2 separate regions of the Mus musculus genome follow, and region 1 is reported to be linked to region 2. The links are microRNA targets in miRTarBase. Many come from high-throughput screens and were not tested one by one. Region 2 holds a microRNA gene; the other region holds the end of a gene's coding sequence.

Region 1 (9,945 bases), not on the chromosome of region 2:
TTATTAGAGCCAAAAATTCTTGGTGCTAGAATGGGAACAAGGTAGTCAGCCAGGCACAAAAACATAACAAAGCAGGAAACACCAGACAGCACAGATGGATCGAGATAATAGATAATCCTATTAAAAACAGAGAAAATTAACCAAGGTTAGAGAAGAGCAGCCGTCAGTCACTATTCCCAGTCAGAGCTATTCCCTCCCTCCCTCCCCTCGACTCTCAGAGCCGGGGCTGCTCCCTTTCTAACTTCCTCACAGAGGCGTTCCAGGGGCACCATGGCGTGATGTTGTCACAGCCATAGCGGTTAATGTAAACAGCAGTACTCAAAACCTCTGGAGTCCTCAATATTTTTTTTCCTGGGGGTTTTTTCGAGACAGGGTTTCTCAGTTAGCCCTGGCTGTCCTGGAACTCATTCTGCAGCCCAGGCTGGCCTCGAACTCAGAAATCTGCCTGCCTCTGCCTCCCCAGTGCTGGGATTAAAGGCGTGCGCCACCACGCCCAGCTGGGTCCTCAAAATTTACTAGAAGGAATATAATAAAGCAAGAGTGCTGAAACACAAGAGTTTGCGTGTCCGGGATTTACTCAACTGCATCAAGTTACAACTTTACATAAGGACTACAAATCTAGAAAGAGGGCAAGCTGCTTGCAATAAAGGCATTCCTTTTGGATTATGTATTACAAAAGCTTCTCTAAGCACAGGCTATGAACCCTCTGAGCATTAGCAATAGAATCTCACTTACAGGAACAGCAGGGAAACCACACCCATGATGGCAGGTGGAAACCAGGCTCTTTCCCATCGAAGGACTTTGTCAGCCATCAGCATCACCTCTCCCCAGCCTTGCAGCTGCTCTTCAAGACTTGCAGTCTCCACGGCCTACACATGATCAACAGTTAAGACTGTTACTTTGCCAATCTCAACACTTTGGTGGCTCAGAGAGTACTTTCTCAGGCATCAAAAACACGTAAAATGCCTTTTACAAAACTGTTATCTTAAACAAGGTGAGTCATGAAAACCTGCAATTTTGGCACCAAATATGAAAATCCATGGGTAGGAAAAAGCCTAGGCTTTAATGGTCATTTTAGCACTGGGCCATATGTCCATGATGTATAATAATATTCCCAAGATTTCACAATTTATTTCAATATTCATGAAAGTGAGCTTAATATGGGAAACTAATATCCCCAAATGCAGCCACAGAGCCAAGAGGCAGTGCTCAGAATATTACTAGATTGAATATTCTGTTTGCCCATTTCAGGTGGTTGGCATTGATCTGTCGATTGGCCGTTTTATTGATTGAAGTCCTTCTAAATCCATCAGGAGAACCTTTCCCTTAACACTAAGTACATAAATCTCTAAAATAGCTTTGTATAATGGAATGACTCTGATGTTGGCAGTCACTGTGGAATTAAAGAAAACTCTTTCAACCAAACTATGTGAGCTCAGCACTTAATGGCTCCTCATCATTAATGATAGAATTTCAATTAAATCTCAAAATTTTTCTGCATATGTGACAACTAGCCAAAAGCACACCTTTACCATGGGCTACTGTGACCTGAACCTATCAGGGACTTTGGTAACGGAAGGTATTTAGAACCTGTTTGTGCAGAACTCTGGATTCAACATCCAGGAACTACATACACACAATGCCCAACTGACACTATCAACTCTTCACAAAGGAATATGCAAATATAGAACAGTTCAGGCTAATTTTAATAAAGATGAGATATGTGACTAAGTACTTTTGACATCTCCCCATACTAGAAATCCTAAACATTTTACATGTTATACTTCAATTGACGCTCCAAAAAAACTGGAAAAGGTATTCTCACAACCTCTACTTTAAGATAAGGCGACTGAGACATAAAGGGGTTAATATATTTAAATCCAGGAAATCCAAGACTAATGGACTTGCTCTCCTTAAAATGATGGAAATAGTAGTGATCAGGCCCTCTCCCATGATAGTTTCCTTGTACAGCAATTAATCCTCTTATTGAATTGTTTGCTGGTATTGTGTAGGAGGAGTTTAAGGGTACAGGGTAAGCATCTCTATTGTATGGTACTGTGTGTGTGTGTGTGTGTGTGTGTGTGTGTGTAGGGAATTTAAGGATACAGGGAATGCACCTCTAAACACAAATACAAACTGAAAATCTTGCACTAATCAAAACTGTCCCGAAGAATCTTGTCGGCACTTAGCAGTTAAAAAGGCAGGCATTAAAAGCTGATTGCTTTTTTCATTTCTGATATGGCCTGCCTTTTCTGGGGAATGACAATACAGAAAAAAAAAAAAAAAGATCTTTCGTTCTTGCCTAGGTGGGTGATGCAGTTAAAAATTTGAAACTAGCAGGGCCTGGTGATGCGCAACTGTAATCCCAGCACAGGAGGATGACAAATACAAGGCTAGCCTCGTCAAGCTACACGAAAACCTAGCCTTAAAAACCAAAAACAAAGACCTAACCAAAAACAAAGACCTGTAATGAAGCAAACGCGCCCTCTTCTAATACCATCATCTCGTGTAGCTCCGTCAAATCCGTGCTAAATCATTTTTAAAGTTGCATCCAGTCCCGTGAGTCCCTCGCCAGTTCCCAGACAAGTGCCAGGATCCCCCACTGTCCTTTCCGCAGAACCCGTTTTCAGCTTCCTGCGGTGAACTCCAACCAGCCAGCTCCAACAAATTCTGTGTCAGCGATAAACTAATTCTCTGTAGCAGCCCTTTGACCCTCCACCCTTGCGCCAAGTTTTAGGAGAAAAAGAATCATGATTAAAAATAATCTACGGAACATGAGATTAAGATCAAAGGGCAAAACAGGTAGGTCTCCGGCCTGAGCCGGAGCGCTAGACAAGGCCCCTGGCGGCCGAGTGCCCCAACCTGTTACCCAGGTTCCTTCTTGCCACAGCCCCCTTCTCACACTTCCTCACGCACGGCCCAAGCCTTATGGTGCAGGATTCCGGGGGACGTTGGGGATCGCCAGCAGCGACCTCCACCGTGGAGATAAGGCCTGGCTGTCCCTGGTAGTCCACCGAGGCCAGGAGGCCCATCCGGAAACTCCGGGGACAGACTGACCACCGCAACTCACCAGCAGGTTGCTGCTGCGGTTATCCCCCTCCGCCATCGTTCCAGACTCGCGGTTATCAACGAGCGAACACACACTATCCCCCCAACACCAGCAAGGCAACCCGAGCGCGGGGGAACGCCCCGCAGTCTGCTTATATAGGCTAGCTGCCTTTCCCGACAGCCCTCGCGAAACTCGCTCCTCATTGGGTAGACCGCACTCCGGCTTCTGGGAAGTCGGGCCAACCGGCAGCTAGCGCATGACTTGAAATCCAGGTCAAAGGAGAGCGAAACTGAAAGACTCTGACCAATCAGAGTGCAGGGGTGTGGCCCTCGAGAGGCGGAGCGGAAGGAAGCGGTTCAACCGCCGTACCTAGTCTCTCACCCAGATCTTCCTAAATCCTGGGGCCTCTCTAGTCCCTAGCTCTTCTGCTGGAAATCAAAACCGCTCAGGCGCCTGTCCGCTCAGCTGCGCAGGGGATGCGCAATGGCATCCTATGCGGAGGCTGGAAGGGCAAGGACGCTTTAGGTTGCTGTGGCACCTGCTGACTGAAGTATTGGCTGCCCCAAGTGAGCGCTGTCTGTGCCTTCTCCCCAGCTCTGGCCTTTGGAGAACATGGAAGATGCACAAACTCTTAAAGGGCTTCATTTGCAGCCAGTTTTTGGGGGAATCATTTGCGGGGTGCTTCACTTGATAATCTATGAGTACTTCAGGTAGCTAGGGGAGCGCTTCATTCGGAGGGATGGATGAGTAGAGGAGCAATTCGGATGTTGGAGGGCTTCAGACTGATAGATTAATGGATGTATGGGGAAGCCAGGCTAAATACGACCTTCAACTAATTTTAAATTATTTTTAAAAACACTTCGTTCCTTAATTCCCAGGTTCTTTAAAGGCCTTGGAGGTTAAAGAGAAATGTGAGAGATCACATAGTGCTCCTAAATATGCCTGGTCCCTTCCTGGCCTATGGTGGCTCTGTCAAAGGGGCATACAATTTGTCATAGAACTTGTGGAAAGTACTAGAAGGTACAGACAACAGTTTTGACCAGGAAGGACGCTCATTGTGTGTGGGCGGGGCGGGGGGGGGATATTATGACTTCGGTTGATACAGAAATCATGTCAAAAATTGTAAAGCCTGGAATTCCCTCCTTCTCCTCAGTATTGAGAACAAAAGGACCCAAACAGCTGCTACCAAGCAATGAGGTGCCCATCTTGGTGGTACCAGGAGCAGTCACTTTGCTAAGAGAGGGCAGAGTAATAAGTTTTTCCTTGGCAACTTGGCTACTGCCCCAGAAAGCTTAGTTTAGTCGGTGTTCCCAAAGTAAAATTTAAGTTTAGGCCAGTCCCAGGTCCCAATCCAGCTCTCACTAACCTTCCAAATGGCTCAGAGGTTACAAACACCTCTTTTTCTACCACAAAGTGACCTTTTGAAATGTGTCAGAAGATGAAGCTCGTAACACAAATCTTCCTCAGAACTTTGGCACTGCAAATGAAGAAGATCTTTGCAAATACTCTTCTTCTTTCAGAGCTTTCACTCACAATTAAGGCTCTGCAGTTTTGTTTTAAATATTGCTAAAATTAAGCTTCATGCATTTTCTGTGTAATCCTGGCTGTCCTGAAACTTGCTTTATAAACCAGATTCGCCTAGAAATTCCACCTATCCTTGCCTCCCCTGGGATTGAAGGTGTCGATTCTTATCTAAGAACTTTCCTACTGAAATAATTAACTCGCTGTTCAAAAGGGAGTAAAACATTTTTTAAGAAATTTTTTTAATTTGGAGAGATAATATGAAAAAAAAAAGCCACAAAACTATTGCAAAACAAACTTTCTGGGATCTACTTCAATAAATTCAGAGCTTAGATACTGTTATCTTTTTAAGACTTGAACCTTTATTTTTATTTTTTTGAAAAACAGGTATTTCATACAATCTTTACCATGTTAATGTAAAGTAGGCAGGTGTTTTTGTTTTTCAAATGATGCATTATGGACATTTTCAGGAAGCTGGTGTTATTTATTCAACTTTTAATCTTAAATACAAGCACAAAATTATATCCATCAGGAGGCATTACAACTTAAAAATAAGCCACTATTTGTACAATGTTACTAAGACAAGGAAGATTCAGTTCAACTCAACTTACTCTTAAATAAGAGTTTAAAAAAAAAAAAAACACAAAATGTGATGTCATTGCCACCTGACATTCCAGGTAGAAACTTAAGTGACTTGTAAATTGAAAAATGACACAGAATCTGAAACAGGAGCTGAACCACACTGTCAGAAAAAGGGAGAACAACCACTGCCAATCACCCTGTTGTGGAAAAATAAAATTTCAGAACTATATTCTTTGCCATCTTCAAATAGCCAGCTGATTTGAGTTTTTAACATTAGCACTAGAACTTCCCAATGAGCCCCAATTGTCAAGTTTTCTCTACATGGTTGCCTTTTCAAACCTAAGCAGTTAGCTTTTTGTAGACAGTGACGTTATCTAGGCCCAAAAGCAGGCAAAGTACAGTGACTGCCTCCTCTTGAATCTTTGCACAGCATTGTGATGCTCACCAGCACTATTAGGAATCTACCTACCCTATCGAGGTAACTGAGGATGAACTTCAGTGACTAGTGCGTTATTTTTTGCCTCCTTGATTTGGGGGGAGGGTTCTAAATTACTAGCATTTTATAAATTCAACATATAAAACAATGTTGGTCTTCGTCTGCGTCTGAACACAGGAAACAAAGATGCTTCAGGGTGGTAGTTCTAAGGGCTAGGATGTACGTAGCTCAGGGTAGAGAGCTTGCCTAGCATGTGCAAGGTCGCATCCCTGCCCTGCAGGAAATGCAGCTAATATTAGCACAGCACTGACATCTGCTGTGTGTGATTGGGAGTGGCAGGCTAGTTGTAGGTGTGTTCATTACTAAGAAAAGATTGGGAGAAAAGAAGAACCAGCTCCTTTGATTTTAGTACTGCACAAGTAAGCCCCCGAGTAACTACAAAAAGGTGGAGGGAAAAAGGCCAGGAAGACTCTGATTTAAAGTACTGCCTGTAATACCCCAGATTAAAAAGGACCTAAGACTGCACATCAACTCTAATATTTGGCTGCATTGCCCTGCTTGGCATTTATTAAATGGCTCTTTCCTTAAATTTCACACATCAGAACAACCACAATTTAAAAAAAAAAACAATGCAGATAACACCAAACATTGGATGATATTAAGAAATCTATTAACGAAGCTTAGATAACAGAGGCAAGTGTTAAGGGCAAAGTGAAGGGAGTCTTTCTTCTTCTGTATTACAAATTCTTACCCTGAACCTGGGCTTTGAGCTCTGAATCAGTGATCTAAGAAAGCAGATCAAGACCTATCAGTTTCACATAGAAATCTCACGCCTCAAAAGAACTCACCACCAGTGTCAAATCATCTAGCAAACTGCGTGATCAGCTCACGACCATAAGCAGAAGCAAGAGACTTTGGTAAAGAAATAGCTTCGTAGGTACTAGGCTTCAGCTTGGTAGAGATATCAACTGACTCTAGCTAGCTAATTAAAGACAACTAATCGAAATACATTTCAATTCTCAAGGGTACTCTGAAATAATAGAGGTTGTTCTGTACCCTCTGAATCTTAAAAGAGTGGAGAGAAGGAAGACAGAATTAGGGAGGAGAGGGGTAGGGAGTAAAGAGAAGAAGTTGAGGAAAAAAAAATATCCCTGGTTTTCCACAGGTACTTTGTCATCAAAAAACGGATGACTTCAAAACTACAGCACTCTACATGATTTCATAAAACATTCCCCCAGTGGCCCTGGGTTTTTTGTTTTGTTTTTGTTTTTTTCACTTGAGGCTCCTTAAAGAAGTTAAACCTGGAAAGGCTATTTGAACAGGAAGCCAAGGGTTTTATCCAGAGTGCAGTGATCAACAAGCTTTGAAGTCCTTGGCTGCTCTTATCTGCACTATTCTTTTCTCAAAGACCAGTTTAACATTTTAAAAAAAGGATGGATAATTCACCAGAGGCACATTTTTTTTGGTTGTTTTTTAAGCTGTCTTATTTTTGCTTGGATTAAGATGCCAAGTACTTCTGATGCCTGAGACTCTTGGGGAATAAAATTCACTTATTACCAAAGCAAAAGCCATTTCTGACCACTACCATCACCTACAGGGACAAAAGTCTGAGCTGGTTTTCTCCTTACAACAAAAGCTCTTCTGACATGAAGAATGTCTGAAAATGACACATCTTGAGAGAGCCAAAGTGCAATTGCCCTCAATGCCTCTAGGGAAGAAAATAGCATGCAAAATATAGTATGGCATCAATATTCCAGCTAGGCTGTTTTGTGACAATAAGGCTCAAAATCAACAAGTAAAACCAAATGCGATATGCTAGATTCTTTAACTTGTCAGCAGACATGTGGAGACTGAAAACAGCACCTTTCAATACTCATAATTAAGAAAGTGCCGACACTGGCATCCATCCTGTGAGGATTAGAATTCAACTCGTTGCAGTCAGAGAAGAGCTTAGACACCTGGACCTTTTCAGGCTTGGAGAGGCTGGCAAATTAAGTGGCCGCCACACTAGTTGCTAAAATGCAGGGGGGGGGGGGGGGATAAAAAGACTCAAAATACCATGTGCTATTCTGTGTTGATACGTGATTTTTAGCTCTATTCTAGTCTGCACTTCTACCAAGGATCAGCAGTGAGTACTGAAAATGCTAAGCTGAAGGATGCCTTGATCGTGACTCACTACACACTAGTCACTAAACAAGCTATAAAATGTTGCAAAAGGTAAACAGAACCCATCACAGGCCACCAGCTGAAATTAAAGGTGCTGCTGGCAGGCATTACTGAGCATACCCAAATGCCAGGTAAACTAAAGCATTTTTAATTTACACTTTAAAACATAAAACAAAATTACTTTGTAAATTAAAAGTATCAAATGAGAAAACTGAATTAAAAAACATTTCACTCTACCTCCACCAGAACGTCACTTTATTGTGAACCTGTCATCAACAATGCAAACTCCAATAGGTTCTCTATCCTGGTTGTTTAAAAGGTAAAAGATTACATCAGATCAGCTACTTTCTATGAAAGAAACTACAGCAATCACAGAAGAGGGAAAATTTGAATGACCTCCAAAAAATGCACATTGTAAGCAGAGGGGAGTGCACATGAAATCAGTGTCTGTTAGACTCATTACGTTTGGATGCACAGTGACAATTCAGGAAACTGTACATGATAGAGTCACAGATATGACTGAAATAACCAGAGTTACATCTTGTATGTGATGATCACAGACCTTTAAACAATCCTTGAATTTTCCATGTTTTCATTGGATTTGGAGAAACTCCTGTTTCTGTCTCCAAATATGGTAACAACGTGGAGACAAAAGTTTATGAAGTGTAAGGATTGAAATAAAAGTGAGTCTGACAGCTGGCTAATCTACCAGGGTGGGTCAACGGGGAGCTGGGGAACAGGTAAGCGATGGGAAGGAGTGGGATCCATAGGTGCTTTTCTCTTCGTTTCAGAAGTCAGTTCTTCCGATGTAGTGTGTGTCTATTACACTGCTCTCCATTTTTTCAGTCCATTTCTGAAATTCATACAGCATAGCCTTTTGGTACTTAACTGGTCAACCCAACCAGTACTGTTGCCGAGCAACAAATGTTTCTCAAGAATCTGAATGCAACAACTCTTCCGTGGCTGTGAGTTCTTCGCGGCCCCAATTTTCTCTTGTTTCTGAGCGGGGTTTGTTTTCCTGGATTGTACACACAGGGTCAGGTGGAATGGAGTTCCAAGTCACTCTGTGCTCCGCAGCAGCCCGATTTCTTTCTCAGCTAACCTCCTGACACGTTTGCAGCTGTTCTGTGGCAGAAAGACAATCTCCGTGTGCAGGCAGTGAGCTTGCTTTCTTCACCTTTGACCCTGGCCATGGTGTTGGGCGTATCCCTGAGTGCAGCTGTCCTGCAGGATTCACTTCCTAGTACACCGAGATTTCCTAGGTTTCCTCAGAGTAAGCCCCCAGATGCATCACCACCGACTGTGATGTGGCTTTGGATGCCTGAGGCTGAGTTGATTCTGGTGGATGTCTGACCTCGCTTAACCAGACTCATCTACTGTCTTGCCATTCACACCCAAGCTGTCCAACCTTCATACAGCTGAGCCAAGTTATCTAGATTAGTTGCTTCCTTAATGACATAGTCAACCTGTGAACATAGGCAGGACAGAATTGAAAATCACTAAGAACCAGAAAGGACACATTTCATATATCAATTGCATGAGTTGTCTCAAGAGCAAGTTTCTAGTCAAATGACTCACCCAAAGGAGGAGAGGTTACACTCTGGTAGAAAGATGTAGCACTCTTCATGACCACAGAGAATGCAACAAGCTCAGTGATCTTAGGAAAGTTCCTTAGACCTTTAGGAATGGTAAGAACCTCTCCACCCCCACCCCCACCCCCACCCAGGGGTGGTAATACCATGAAAGGTTCTGCTTAGAACAAAATAAATGATGCAAATGTGGGTAAGAAGTGATTAGTCTAGGTAAAAAGTATGGCATCTCTACAACTTTTCTGTAACTTTTAAACATTTTTCAAAATAAACAACTAACAGTTGAATGGCTCAGCAGTAAAGTATCTGCCTAGCACCTGTAAGGACCAACGGTCAATCTCCAGCACCCTGGGGTGATGGGGTGTGGTACAGATTCATTAACAGAAGAAAACTTTGGACAAAAACACACAGGTATTCATGGAACTAAAGAGTCTACACCTTCAAAAATTGTCACCCTCCCTTCATCTGATACTTTCAGAACGGTAAGGCGAGTGTTAGCCTGAGTGTGGAGGATGATTAGAGCAGTCATATAGCTTAAACGACTATGCAGGAGATTGCCTAAGAGGAAAGACTAAGTAGTGACGAGTCAAGTAGTGAGCATC
Region 2 (10,066 bases):
CTGAGCCTACGCACACCACAGAGCCCCTGGGAACAGGCACTGTGTCAGCAGAGCTGTCGAGCCCATGGGCTGTAGGCGACTCAGAGCAGAGTGAGTGCCCTGGTGTATATTTGTAGCCAGGCAGGAGATGGCAAGGGGAAGGGTCAGGGCTGGGCCCATTCTCCTGCTTTCCAGCAGGTATGGAAGCTCTGACAGACCCAGTCATGGATCCTGGACCTAATCCCTCATCTGACACAGCTATATGGCGGCGCATCTTCCAGTCCTCATACATCCGGGAGCAGTATGTGCTTACCCACTGCTCTGCCAGCCCTGAGCCAGGCCCAGGCTCCACCTGCAGTAGCGAGTCCCCAGGTTCCCAAGGCCCTGGCTCCCCCAGTGGTAGCCGTCCCCTGGATCCCCCTTCTCAGCAGGGCTGCCGAAGCCTGGCCTGGGTAGAACCTGCAGGCTCCCGCTCCTGCCCCCTGCCTGTACCCCCACCATCTCCATTCAAGGTGAGATTTCATCCGTCATGTAACCATCATATATATATATATATATGTATATGTATATATGATTGGATGGTTACATACATATATATATATGATGTCACAACCAGTAATGAACACAGGACCGTGGTATTATGGGCGCTCAGTCAGAATGACTGTCAGACGGAGTTAGGAAAGTAAGGTGTGTCGGGGAGAATAAGCAAGTTAAAAAACAATGACGATATAAAGAGAGAGTCAAGAAACAACCTGAAGTGGGAAATACAATGAGATGACAAGACTTATGGGTAGCTGAAAGTCTGTGGTGGCTAGAAACAGCATTCCTTGACCAGTGACCTCCCATCTCTCACACGCAGGTGGGAGCCATGAGCGCTGAGGTGCTGGGCCGTCGGCAAAGAGCAGCTCTGGCTGGTCGAAGTCTCTCATCTCCCTCAGGCCGGGCAAACCCAGTCCCCGGAAGAGCCCGGCACCCCTCTCTAGATGCAATACCAGATGGATTAGGCCCTGAGCCAGGACAACAGCTGGGTCAGGGCCTCGATGATTCAGGTAAGGGTTGGATGGGACGCTGGTTTTCTGACACCAAAGATGTGGGAAAATGGAGCACAGTTCACCATGTTGCCTATACCCCTGACATCTCTCCCCAGGAAACCTGCTCTCCCCAGCCCCCTTGGACTGGGATATGTTGATGGAACCATCTTTCTTATTCAAGCCTGTGCCGTCCAGTGCGGAATCAGCTCCTCCAGCAGAATGTCTGCCTCCTCAGGCTCCACGTTGCCACGTGGTGATCCGGGCCCTGTGTGGGGAACAGCCAATGTGCTGGGAGGTGGGTGTTGGGCTGGAAGAACTCTGGGGTCCTGGGGATGGCTCCCAGCCTGAATCACTTCCGATGAGAGAAGCTGCGTGGGATCAGGCACTCCACCGGCTGACAGCAGCCTCTGTGGTCCAGGACAATGAACAGCTGGCTCTCCGTGGAAGAGCTGAAACCAGGGCTGAGCAGGGTAAGTTTCTAACCGACACACCCCAGGTACAAAGGCTTTAAACAGAACACGGTGAAGGTACATATCTGTGTTAATCAGCCTGTTCCTTACTTTGTCACAAAGGATTTGAGGTGATTCATAATACAAAGTAAGAAACTTAGCAGAGAAATGAGAAAGAGTGAAAACAAAGGAAACCAAGGCTGGAGAGATGGCTCAGTGGTTAAGAGCACTGACTGTTCTAGAGGACCCAGGTTCAATTCCCAGTACCCACATGGTGGTTCACAACCATCTGTAACTCCAATTCCAGGGGATCTAACACCCTCTTCTGGCCTCTGTGGGTACCAGTCACATATATAGTACAAAGACATACATGCAGGCAAAATATCCCCACACATAAAAAAAAATGATAAAAGAATATAAAGGAAATATAAATAAAGGTGTATTATAAGATACAAAACCGGGCAGTGGTGGCACACGTCTTTAATCCCAGCACTGGGGAGGCAGAGGCAGGCAGATTTCTGAGTTCAAGGCCAGCCTGGTCTACAGAGTGAGTTCCAGGACAGCCAGGGCTATACAGAGAAACCCTGTCTCGAAAAACCAAAAGGGGTGGAGGCGAGAAAGAAAGAAAAAGAAAAGAAAACAGTCACATGTGCATGATGCAGACAAAACATTTTTCTAACTGCAGGAAGTTCTGGATAGTGCTGAAATGAGTGGTAGGCAGTGTGTATGGTGCTGGCTGTGGCGGCACATGCATAAAACTCACAGCTTTAACTAAGCATCTATTATGCAATAAGTCTGAGAGTTCTGGGCCAATCTAGGTTATATGTAACTATGGTGTGACCCTGTCAAAATAAAGTCCTGTGGAGGGGCCACACACTACCCTTGGGTACTCTAAAGTTTGCCTGTGCCGGACCCACTTCCCAGATTTAAGTCAAAAAAAAAAAAAAAAGAAAAAAGAAAGAGAGAGAGAGAGAGAGAGAGAGAGAGAGAGAGAGAGAGAGAGAGAGAGAAAGAGAAAAGACAGACAGCAAGCTAGGCATGGGTGTGATGGTGCATACCCATAATCTCAACACTGTGGTAGCAGAGGCAGGAGGATCGTTCCAGACCACCAAATTTCTGGGTTTCTAGGGGGCTTCTGGTTCTACTGTAGGCTGAGAGTTCAGTCTATTTCTTGTCAAAGTTGGGAAGATTTGGTTCAGGACCAAACATGGCTATCTACCATGTTTATAGGGGACAGGGGAAGCTGTGGGGATCATTCTAGTATTTTTTTTTTTTTAGACAGGGTATCATGTAGTCCTGGCTGGCTTGGAACTCACAGATACTGGCCTGCTTTGGCCTCTGAAGTGCTGGGATTTAAGCCACCATGTTTGGCTTTACAGCATTTTGTTTGTTTAATTTACATCCCAGTGCTTACAGCCCACCCTATCTTCCCAGTCCCACCCCTCCCTCATCACCCCCTCCCCTTCTCTGAGGACTTGTCTGAAGGGGAAGCCCTCCTTGGGTATCACTCCACCCTGAGATATCTGGTCCCAGCAGGACTAACCTGGTAATCCAATGGCAGGGAACAGAGACCAAGACACCCTTCACTCTGCTTATTAAGGGAACCACATTTTCCAGCATTTTTTATGCAGCTTTCTATAGATAGTGAGAGTTGAGCTCCATACTGCTTTGATTTACAGGCAGAGTCAGAAGGTCCTGGCTCAGAGCCATTCAGACAAGCAAGGTCAGCTCTGCCCCATCCTGTTTTACCTGCCCTGTTGCTGTAGATGCTACCACTAGGGAGGTATTGCCTGGAGCCCTGCAGGTGTGGAGTTCAGGTATGGTCCTTCTCTGATGACCTCTAAGGTGTGACACTCACCTCACTGGCAAGCCAGTGGGACTGACTCTACTCTTACAGATCCAGCTGAGCTCTCAGGCATGTCTGCCTCTCAAGACCAGCTAGCTGCCGCTCCTCTGTCCACAGCAGTCCACTCTAAAGGTAGGGCTCAAATGCAGTGGATTGGGCACAGATGGGCTTTGGACCACTTGCTGGTACTGGGTGACCCTACTGTAGGACATCAGGGAGGCTGTTCTGCAGGTGCCTGGGACCTGGACCTAAATGACAACTCCAAGTCAGCATTGGGGGAGCCCATATCTCCTACTGGAGATCATCATGGCTTGCCCCACCAGCCTCCAGCCTCTTCCAGGCTCAGCCTGGGTCGTCATCGAAGACTCTGCAGCTCCAATAAGGGCCAGACTCATGAGAACAGCAATGACGGCAGCAACCATGACTACCTGCCTCTGGTGAGGACTGGGGAGGTGGAGGGTAGCATCATTAGAGCCAGAGCTCTGTCTCAGCTCCCTCTCCCCCCACCTCTTCTCTCCTCAGGTACGACTGCAAGAGGCACCAGGCTCCTTCCGCCTGGATGAACCCTTCTGTGCTGCTGTGTGCATTCCTCAAGAACGCCTGTGTCGAGCCTCGCCCTTTGCCGCACACCGTGCCAGCCTCAGCCCCACCTCAGCATCATCTCCTTGGGCATTTCTGAGCCCTGGTATTGGCCAAGGTGACAGTGCCACAGCCTCCTGCAGCCAGTCCCCCAGCTCAGGTTCTGAGGGTCCAGGCCAGGTAGACAGTGGGAGGGGCTCAGATACTGAGGCCTCAGAAGGAATGGAAAGGCAGGACAGCTCTGATCTTCGTGGGCGCACTTGGGCCACAGCTGTGGCCCTGGCGTGGCTGGAACACCGCTGTGCAGCTGCCTTTGGCGAGTGGGAACTGACAGCTTCCAAAGCTGATTGCTGGCTGAGAGCCCAACACCTGCCAGACGGACTTGATCTGACTGCTCTTAAAGCTGCTGCCCGGGGGCTCTTTCTGTTACTGCGACACTGGGACCAGAATCTGCAGCTACACTTGCTGTGTTACAGCCCTTCGAATGTGTAAGGCTGCTTGCAGCTCTGGCTAGCGACCCCCAACACAGTCACTGCCACCCAGGGCCAGTCTCTTGGTGCTGGGAAAGAATAAGTTGGTGTCTGCCGTCCTCCATTGCTTCACATACACACACACACACACCCCTCCCAACATTCTTGTCACCACAGAAAGTGCCTGCCTGTGCTCTCTTCTCTCTCCTCCCACTCCATACCCCCTCCTATGTGCTCTGAGCTCTCTATAGGATAATGGAAGAGGAGAGAGCTACGGTCCCAAATCCTATGCAATAAAGTGCCTCTTAAGACTGCCTGATGAGTTGTTCGTTTCCATGTTGGGAAGATGCACTTCATAGCTTGGTGTAGGCACGAGCAACCACTAACTTTATGTATGCTGCACAAAGGTGGACTTGGCAAGGTTTATTCTAAGAACACAGAGTCCGTTCCACCCATGATGCTGAGCACGTCCTAGAAGGAAGGGGTGGGTTTCAGTGAGTTTTCCTGCTTGGCTGAATGCTCTTAGGGAAGGACTCGGGGGACAGCCAGAGCTGCAGCAGGACGACAGCGTGGCACAGGTGGAGGGCGGCAGAGCTGAAGGACGTGGATGGGTACGTATTCCAGGAGAGCTCAATGAGTCCCAGCACCAGCAACCTGGGAATGAGAAACGGGTCCCAGCCATTTCAAGGTCAGCACGCCCTACGCCATCCACCCATCCACCCCATGCCCTTCTGTGGTTTCAGCTGTGAGGAGACCCCGAGCCCTTCTCCAACCCTTCCAGGTTGTCCCAGCTAGTACCTGAGCAGGTGTGTGAGCCAGCGTGCAGGCATGGCCCACAGGAGGTAGGGCAGTGTGTGGAAATACCAGACATAAAACTGGTAGTGGAGCGAGCGGCTAAAGCAGATGCCAATGAAGTTGGAGGTGAAGAGGATGGAAACAATCTGTGATGTGATGGTTAAGGCTTTGGGTAGAAATGGAGGGCAGTAGGGGTGGGGTGGGGGTAAGGGTTTAAAGTTCTGGGGTAAGAGCACCCTATTCTGCCTTCCATGCACGCTTCAGATAAGCTTTCTAGCCTCTCTGGATCTGGTCCTCGGTTTAGTAGGGAGAGAGGGATGCATGAGACTGTAAAGCCTGAGGAGTCTGAATCCCTTACATTCTAACCTTAATCCTTCCTTCTGTAAAATTAATATGCGTACTTCCCCTGACTCAGGTGGACTTTGCATGGGAGGGAATGTGGACTCTTAGGACGATACCAAGAGTGCACGGTTTTACAATGCTGGACTTACGGTTAAGCTGGGCTGAGATGTGTAGGGTGCTCAGTGCAGTGTTTGCTGCAGAGGACAGGACCTATGACTGGGCTCGGGCCTCTTCCTGTGGTAGCTTGCTATCTCAGGCCAACAGACTAAGACTCTATCTGCACTTGGAGAGATCAAAACTTGTCTTTCCGTGATTTAAAGGATATGGTTAGGTGTGAGGGCTTGGGGTGGAACTTTCCTTTTGGAAGGATCCTTCAGCAGTGCCAGAATACTTTCCCCTGTTCTGAAGAGAAGTCATTCGGACATTTATCAAGGCCCCGTTGTGTGCCAAATCCTAGATTAGCCACCATGAACTTAACACTTCCTCCAAGCAGCTCCGAAGAGCTGAGCTCTCCACTCCGTCCCATGAACCTTCCCATGATATTAACCCTGTTTCTTACCTGTGCCACCTACAGAGGGCAAACAGCAAGAGGAGGCTAAGGTGGGCAGCCAACAGGGCTAGATGGAAGGCACGATGCAGGAAGATGGTTTCAGGCAGGAAGCGCCAGTTTACTGTCCATTGGAAAAGAAACTGACGACCAAGGTCAAAGGAGCGGGATAGGTAGCCAATGGGGTTCTCCAGCAGGAAGGGCAATCCCAGCACCACCTGGGAATGGGTGAAGCCAGCAGAGCTGCTTAGGCTTGCCACAGCCTTCAGGGTAGTCACTTAGGAGAGCATAGTGAGAGAGGAAGCCTCAAAAGCTCCTTTATTTCCACAAGGAGTAGCCGGAAAGCCTCCCCACTCTCACCCCCTGCTAGAGCCTGACACCACAGAGGCACAGGAGGGGGTTGATCACACTGCCTTTCTCAAGAGTTCGCCAAATCGTGGGCGGCTCAGTTGTTAAGAGCATTCGTTGCTCTTCCGGAGGTGCTGAGTTTAACCCCCAGCAACCACATGGTAGCTCATGGCTATCTGTAATGGGGTCTGATCTTTTTCTGTCATGCAGGCACACATGCAAATTGAGCTCTCATTCACATAAACAAACAAACAAACAAACAAACCTTTAAAAAAATCTTGAAAAAATTTTCACCTGATTGTGTGTGTGTGTTTGAAGGGGGAAGGAGGTATTTAGAGAGAGAGTCTCACTATGTAGTCCTGGCTGGCCTGGCATTTGTTATGTAGACCAGGGTGCCCTGAACTCAGAGACCTCCCAAGTGCTAGGGTTAAAGATGTGTACCACCATGCCTAGCTAGTTGATCAGGTCTTAAGCAAGCAGCTTTAGGAAGGCTCTGAGAGGCCTGCCAAGTTCAGTAGCCGTGGGATCTAAAGTGGCTGCCCAGTGAAAGCAACAACTCCAAACTCTTGTCTGTTGGCTTTTGAGAAAGCCCTAAGAGATTTAAGGAGATCCGTCTCTTCGGTAAGGGGAGGCCCTTTCTCACCAGTAAGGGCAGGATAGACAGTTACCTGAAGAGCAGCACAGATGGCCAGCTTGGGGAGGGCACCACGGAAGCCAAACTGAGTAAGAAGAAGGAATAGCAATCCCGGGGCGAAGAGCAGCACATTCATCTTCACCGAGACAGCCAGGCTGAAATGGACAAAGGACAGGAAAAGTCCAGGGTCAGCTCCAGGACTGGGTGCCCCTTGGAACGACACCCCACCTCCCCCACAGATCTTCTCCTCAGGTTATTAAGTGCCAGGATGTGGTCTCTATCCAGAACTGTTAGAGGAGCACAGATGGCCTGAGAGGAGGCTGGGAAGAAGGGAATAATACCTGTCCCTCTGTCCAGACTAAATGGACATGTACAGATTGACATACTTAAGGGCCAACCCCAACATGGATGCCATCTGGGATAAACATAGGAAGAAAGCATGAGGAAAGGAACTTTCTACAGACCCTTGACTTGTTCAGGGCGGCCAGAGTGACCTACAGTAACTAACCACTCTCTTTTTTCCCCCTAAGTCAGGGTTTCTCTGTGTAGCCCTGGCTGTCCTGGAACTCACTCTGTAGACAAGGCTGGCCTTGAACTCAGAAATCCGCTTGCCTCTGCCTCCCAAGTGCTGGGATTAAAGGCATGCGCCACCACTGCCTGGCTATCTAACCACTCTTGATGTCCTCTCCTGCAGAACATTGGGAAGATATGGAAATGTGACTGGGGGGTGGGGGGGCAGAAGGAAAAGGCTCTGACCTGAAACAGCAGCAGCCCCAGCTCCAGCACTGTGCCAGGAAAAGGTTGATGCTCAGGAAGAGCAAGGCCATAGCTACTGGGTCATTGAAGAGCCGCAGTACAAAGATGGAATGGACACGGTAAGAGGCACAACACATGAAGAAAAAGACGAAGGGAGGTACCTAAAGGGTGGGCACCAACGTCAGCTCCCCAAACCTGAGCCACCCCCACCACCCACTTCAGGCCAGGGCCAGTTGGTCCTGTGGCATCAACTCACCTTGGAGGTCTGGTGGTATATCAAGAAAACAAGCACCAAGGTGACAAGGTAGAGTACAGCAAAGATGTTCTGGGCCATAGGGATATCAGTGCCCCGGTCAGTAGCATAGAATAGCCCCGTAAAGATGTACAAAAACCCAGCTGGGTAGCTGGAAGATGAAAGGAAATATGAGCCTAGGGCAGGACTATCAGCCTGGTACCCACCCAGCCCTTCACAATGCCTTCAGACTTCCTATCCTCACTCACACAAGAGGTCCGGTGTCACCCTGCAGCTGTGTGTAGTCATATGTGCCATTGATGAAACCCTCCACCTGGGCCATGTAGGCCTTCCAGTCAATCTCTGTGTCTGGAAGAAGATAACATGGTCTCGTTCCTTCTGAGTCCAGAACTTGCCTACTTCTAAACCCCATGCCTTCAGACCACCAAAGCCCAGAGATTCTACCTCATTCCCAGGTTTCTCCCATTATCGTCCCTGATGTAACCACACCTACGGCATTCTCTGGGTGAACCCATATATTTCGTCTGTGTGTTATGTGTGCATGCATATGAAGGTCAGGAGTTGACACTGGTGTCTTCCTCTGTCATTTATATAACAGAGTCTAGCTAGTCAGTTTGCTTCAAGGATCCCTTGTCCTGCCTCTCCAGTGCCGTGATCATAGATGGGTCACCATGCCTGCCTGGCATTTATGCCTAATGCTAGGAATGTGAACTATGGGTCTCACATTTGCATGGTAAATACCACGTGCTAAGCTATCTCCTTAGGCCCATGAATGTGGGTGTCTTAAACTCAAATGTGTAAAACTGATTTTATGATCTTTCTTCCTACTCCAAATTTACTCTTTCCTGTATTCTTCAAGTAGTACTTCTCTCCTTTTCAGTTTGTGTGTGTGTGTGTGTGTGTGTGTGTGTGTGTGTTTACAAGACAGGGTTTCTCTGTATAGCTCTGGCTATCTGGCTGTCCTGGAACTCTGTAGACTAGGCTGGCCTTAAACTCACAGAGATCCACTTGCTTCTGTCTCCCAAGTGCTGGGATAAAGGCGTGTGCCACCACCACCCAGCTTCTTAGTTCTTGAAACAGTCTTGTTCTCTTTCTCTGTCTTGTGTGTGTTCATATGCACATGTGTGGATTCACACATAAGTGAGTGTACATGCATGTGAGTATGAGTGTGGAGGTTAGAGGTTAATGGTGATTCTCTTTCTGGAATGTTCCTCACTCTCATTTTAAGAACAGGGTCTTTATAAGCCAGTTGTGATGGTGTCCACCTTTAATCTCAACAACACTCAGGAGCCAGAAGAAGGCAGATTTCTGTGAGCTTGAGGCCACTGTGGTCTACATAGCAAAGCCAATCAGGGCTACTTAGTGAGACTCTGTTTTGTTTTGTTTTTTTAAAAAAAGACTGATCCTGGAAGACACCAGTACCTAATGGACTTAAAAGGTCACAAAATGCACTCTTTAAAAGGACTTTCAAGACCTAAGAATTAAAAGCATGAAAAATCAGATCTGCGGTGGGAAGTGACTGTCTAAGGCTACAGACAAGCATCAGGAACAGCAGCAGCAACAGCACATTAATTCTGGCCAGAACTTCGTGGCTGCTTATGCTTTCTTAGCAGGCTGAATGTTAAACGCAGGAGGTAATCTCTGGGTAACCTCCCTCCCATATGGGAGAGAGATTATGATCGCTGTTCTGGAAAATGGGCTTGGGTCAGGTAAAGGATATGGGTTTGATCGGTGAATGAAAGCTCTGTAATCTAGTTTGGGTATCCCTCCCTCCCTCCGGTTCTCTCCCCTTCAGTGAACTCACATGCCACCCTGTGAATGACCCAGAAGGTGATGCCCACCTCTGCTATGCAGAGGCAGGAGGCCACCAGCAATGTGTAGCGCGGTTCCCGCAGCAGTAGGTAGCGTTCTTGCCAGGCACGCTGTAGCCATTGTTTCCAGATTCCTGCCGGCTGGCCGACAGAAGCCGGCTGGCCGCGTTTCCGCAGCCCAGCAGCCATCTTGACAGTGCACCACTCTTTTGCTTCCACCACCCGG

The links. The annotated mature microRNA mmu-miR-1224-5p reads GUGAGGACUGGGGAGGUGGAG and lies in region 2 at 3,743-3,763, shown strand. An mRNA with a match to its seed (bases 2 to 7 or 8) in the 3' UTR can be bound and repressed. Matches are read on the target gene's strand: a 7mer-m8 pairs with bases 2 to 8, a 7mer-A1 pairs with bases 2 to 7 and ends in A, and an 8mer does both.
Region 1: miRTarBase lists Smg1 as a target of mmu-miR-1224-5p. Seed matches in the 3' UTR shown: 7mer-A1 at 6,720-6,726.

What each region holds. Positions count from the first base shown.
Region 1 is chr7:118,126,399-118,136,343 of GRCm38, forward strand. It overlaps Smg1 (SMG1 homolog, phosphatidylinositol 3-kinase-related kinase (C. elegans)), which reads right to left. Exons shown (of 63, transcript NM_001031814.1): 63 at 4,914-9,220. The coding sequence ends at 9,143. Arl6ip1 (ADP-ribosylation factor-like 6 interacting protein 1) reads right to left here and starts at 3,227. Exons shown (of 6, transcript NM_019419.2): 1 at 3,071-3,227; 2 at 736-869; 3 at 1-117. The coding sequence starts at 3,106.
Region 2 is chr16:20,600,710-20,610,775 of GRCm38, forward strand. Mir1224 (microRNA 1224) reads left to right here and starts at 3,743; the gene lies at 3,743-3,827. Vwa5b2 (von Willebrand factor A domain containing 5B2) reads left to right here. Exons shown (of 20, transcript NM_001384105.1): 13 at 1-90; 14 at 178-491; 15 at 839-1,028; 16 at 1,127-1,480; 17 at 3,139-3,276; 18 at 3,357-3,437; 19 at 3,537-3,742; 20 at 3,828-4,668. The coding sequence ends at 4,376. Alg3 (asparagine-linked glycosylation 3 (alpha-1,3-mannosyltransferase)) reads right to left here and starts at 10,052. Exons shown (of 9, transcript NM_145939.3): 1 at 9,834-10,052; 2 at 8,278-8,377; 3 at 8,033-8,180; 4 at 7,777-7,937; 5 at 7,055-7,175; 6 at 6,051-6,256; 7 at 5,817-5,893; 8 at 5,153-5,297; 9 at 4,749-5,008. The coding sequence starts at 10,029. The coding sequence ends at 4,846.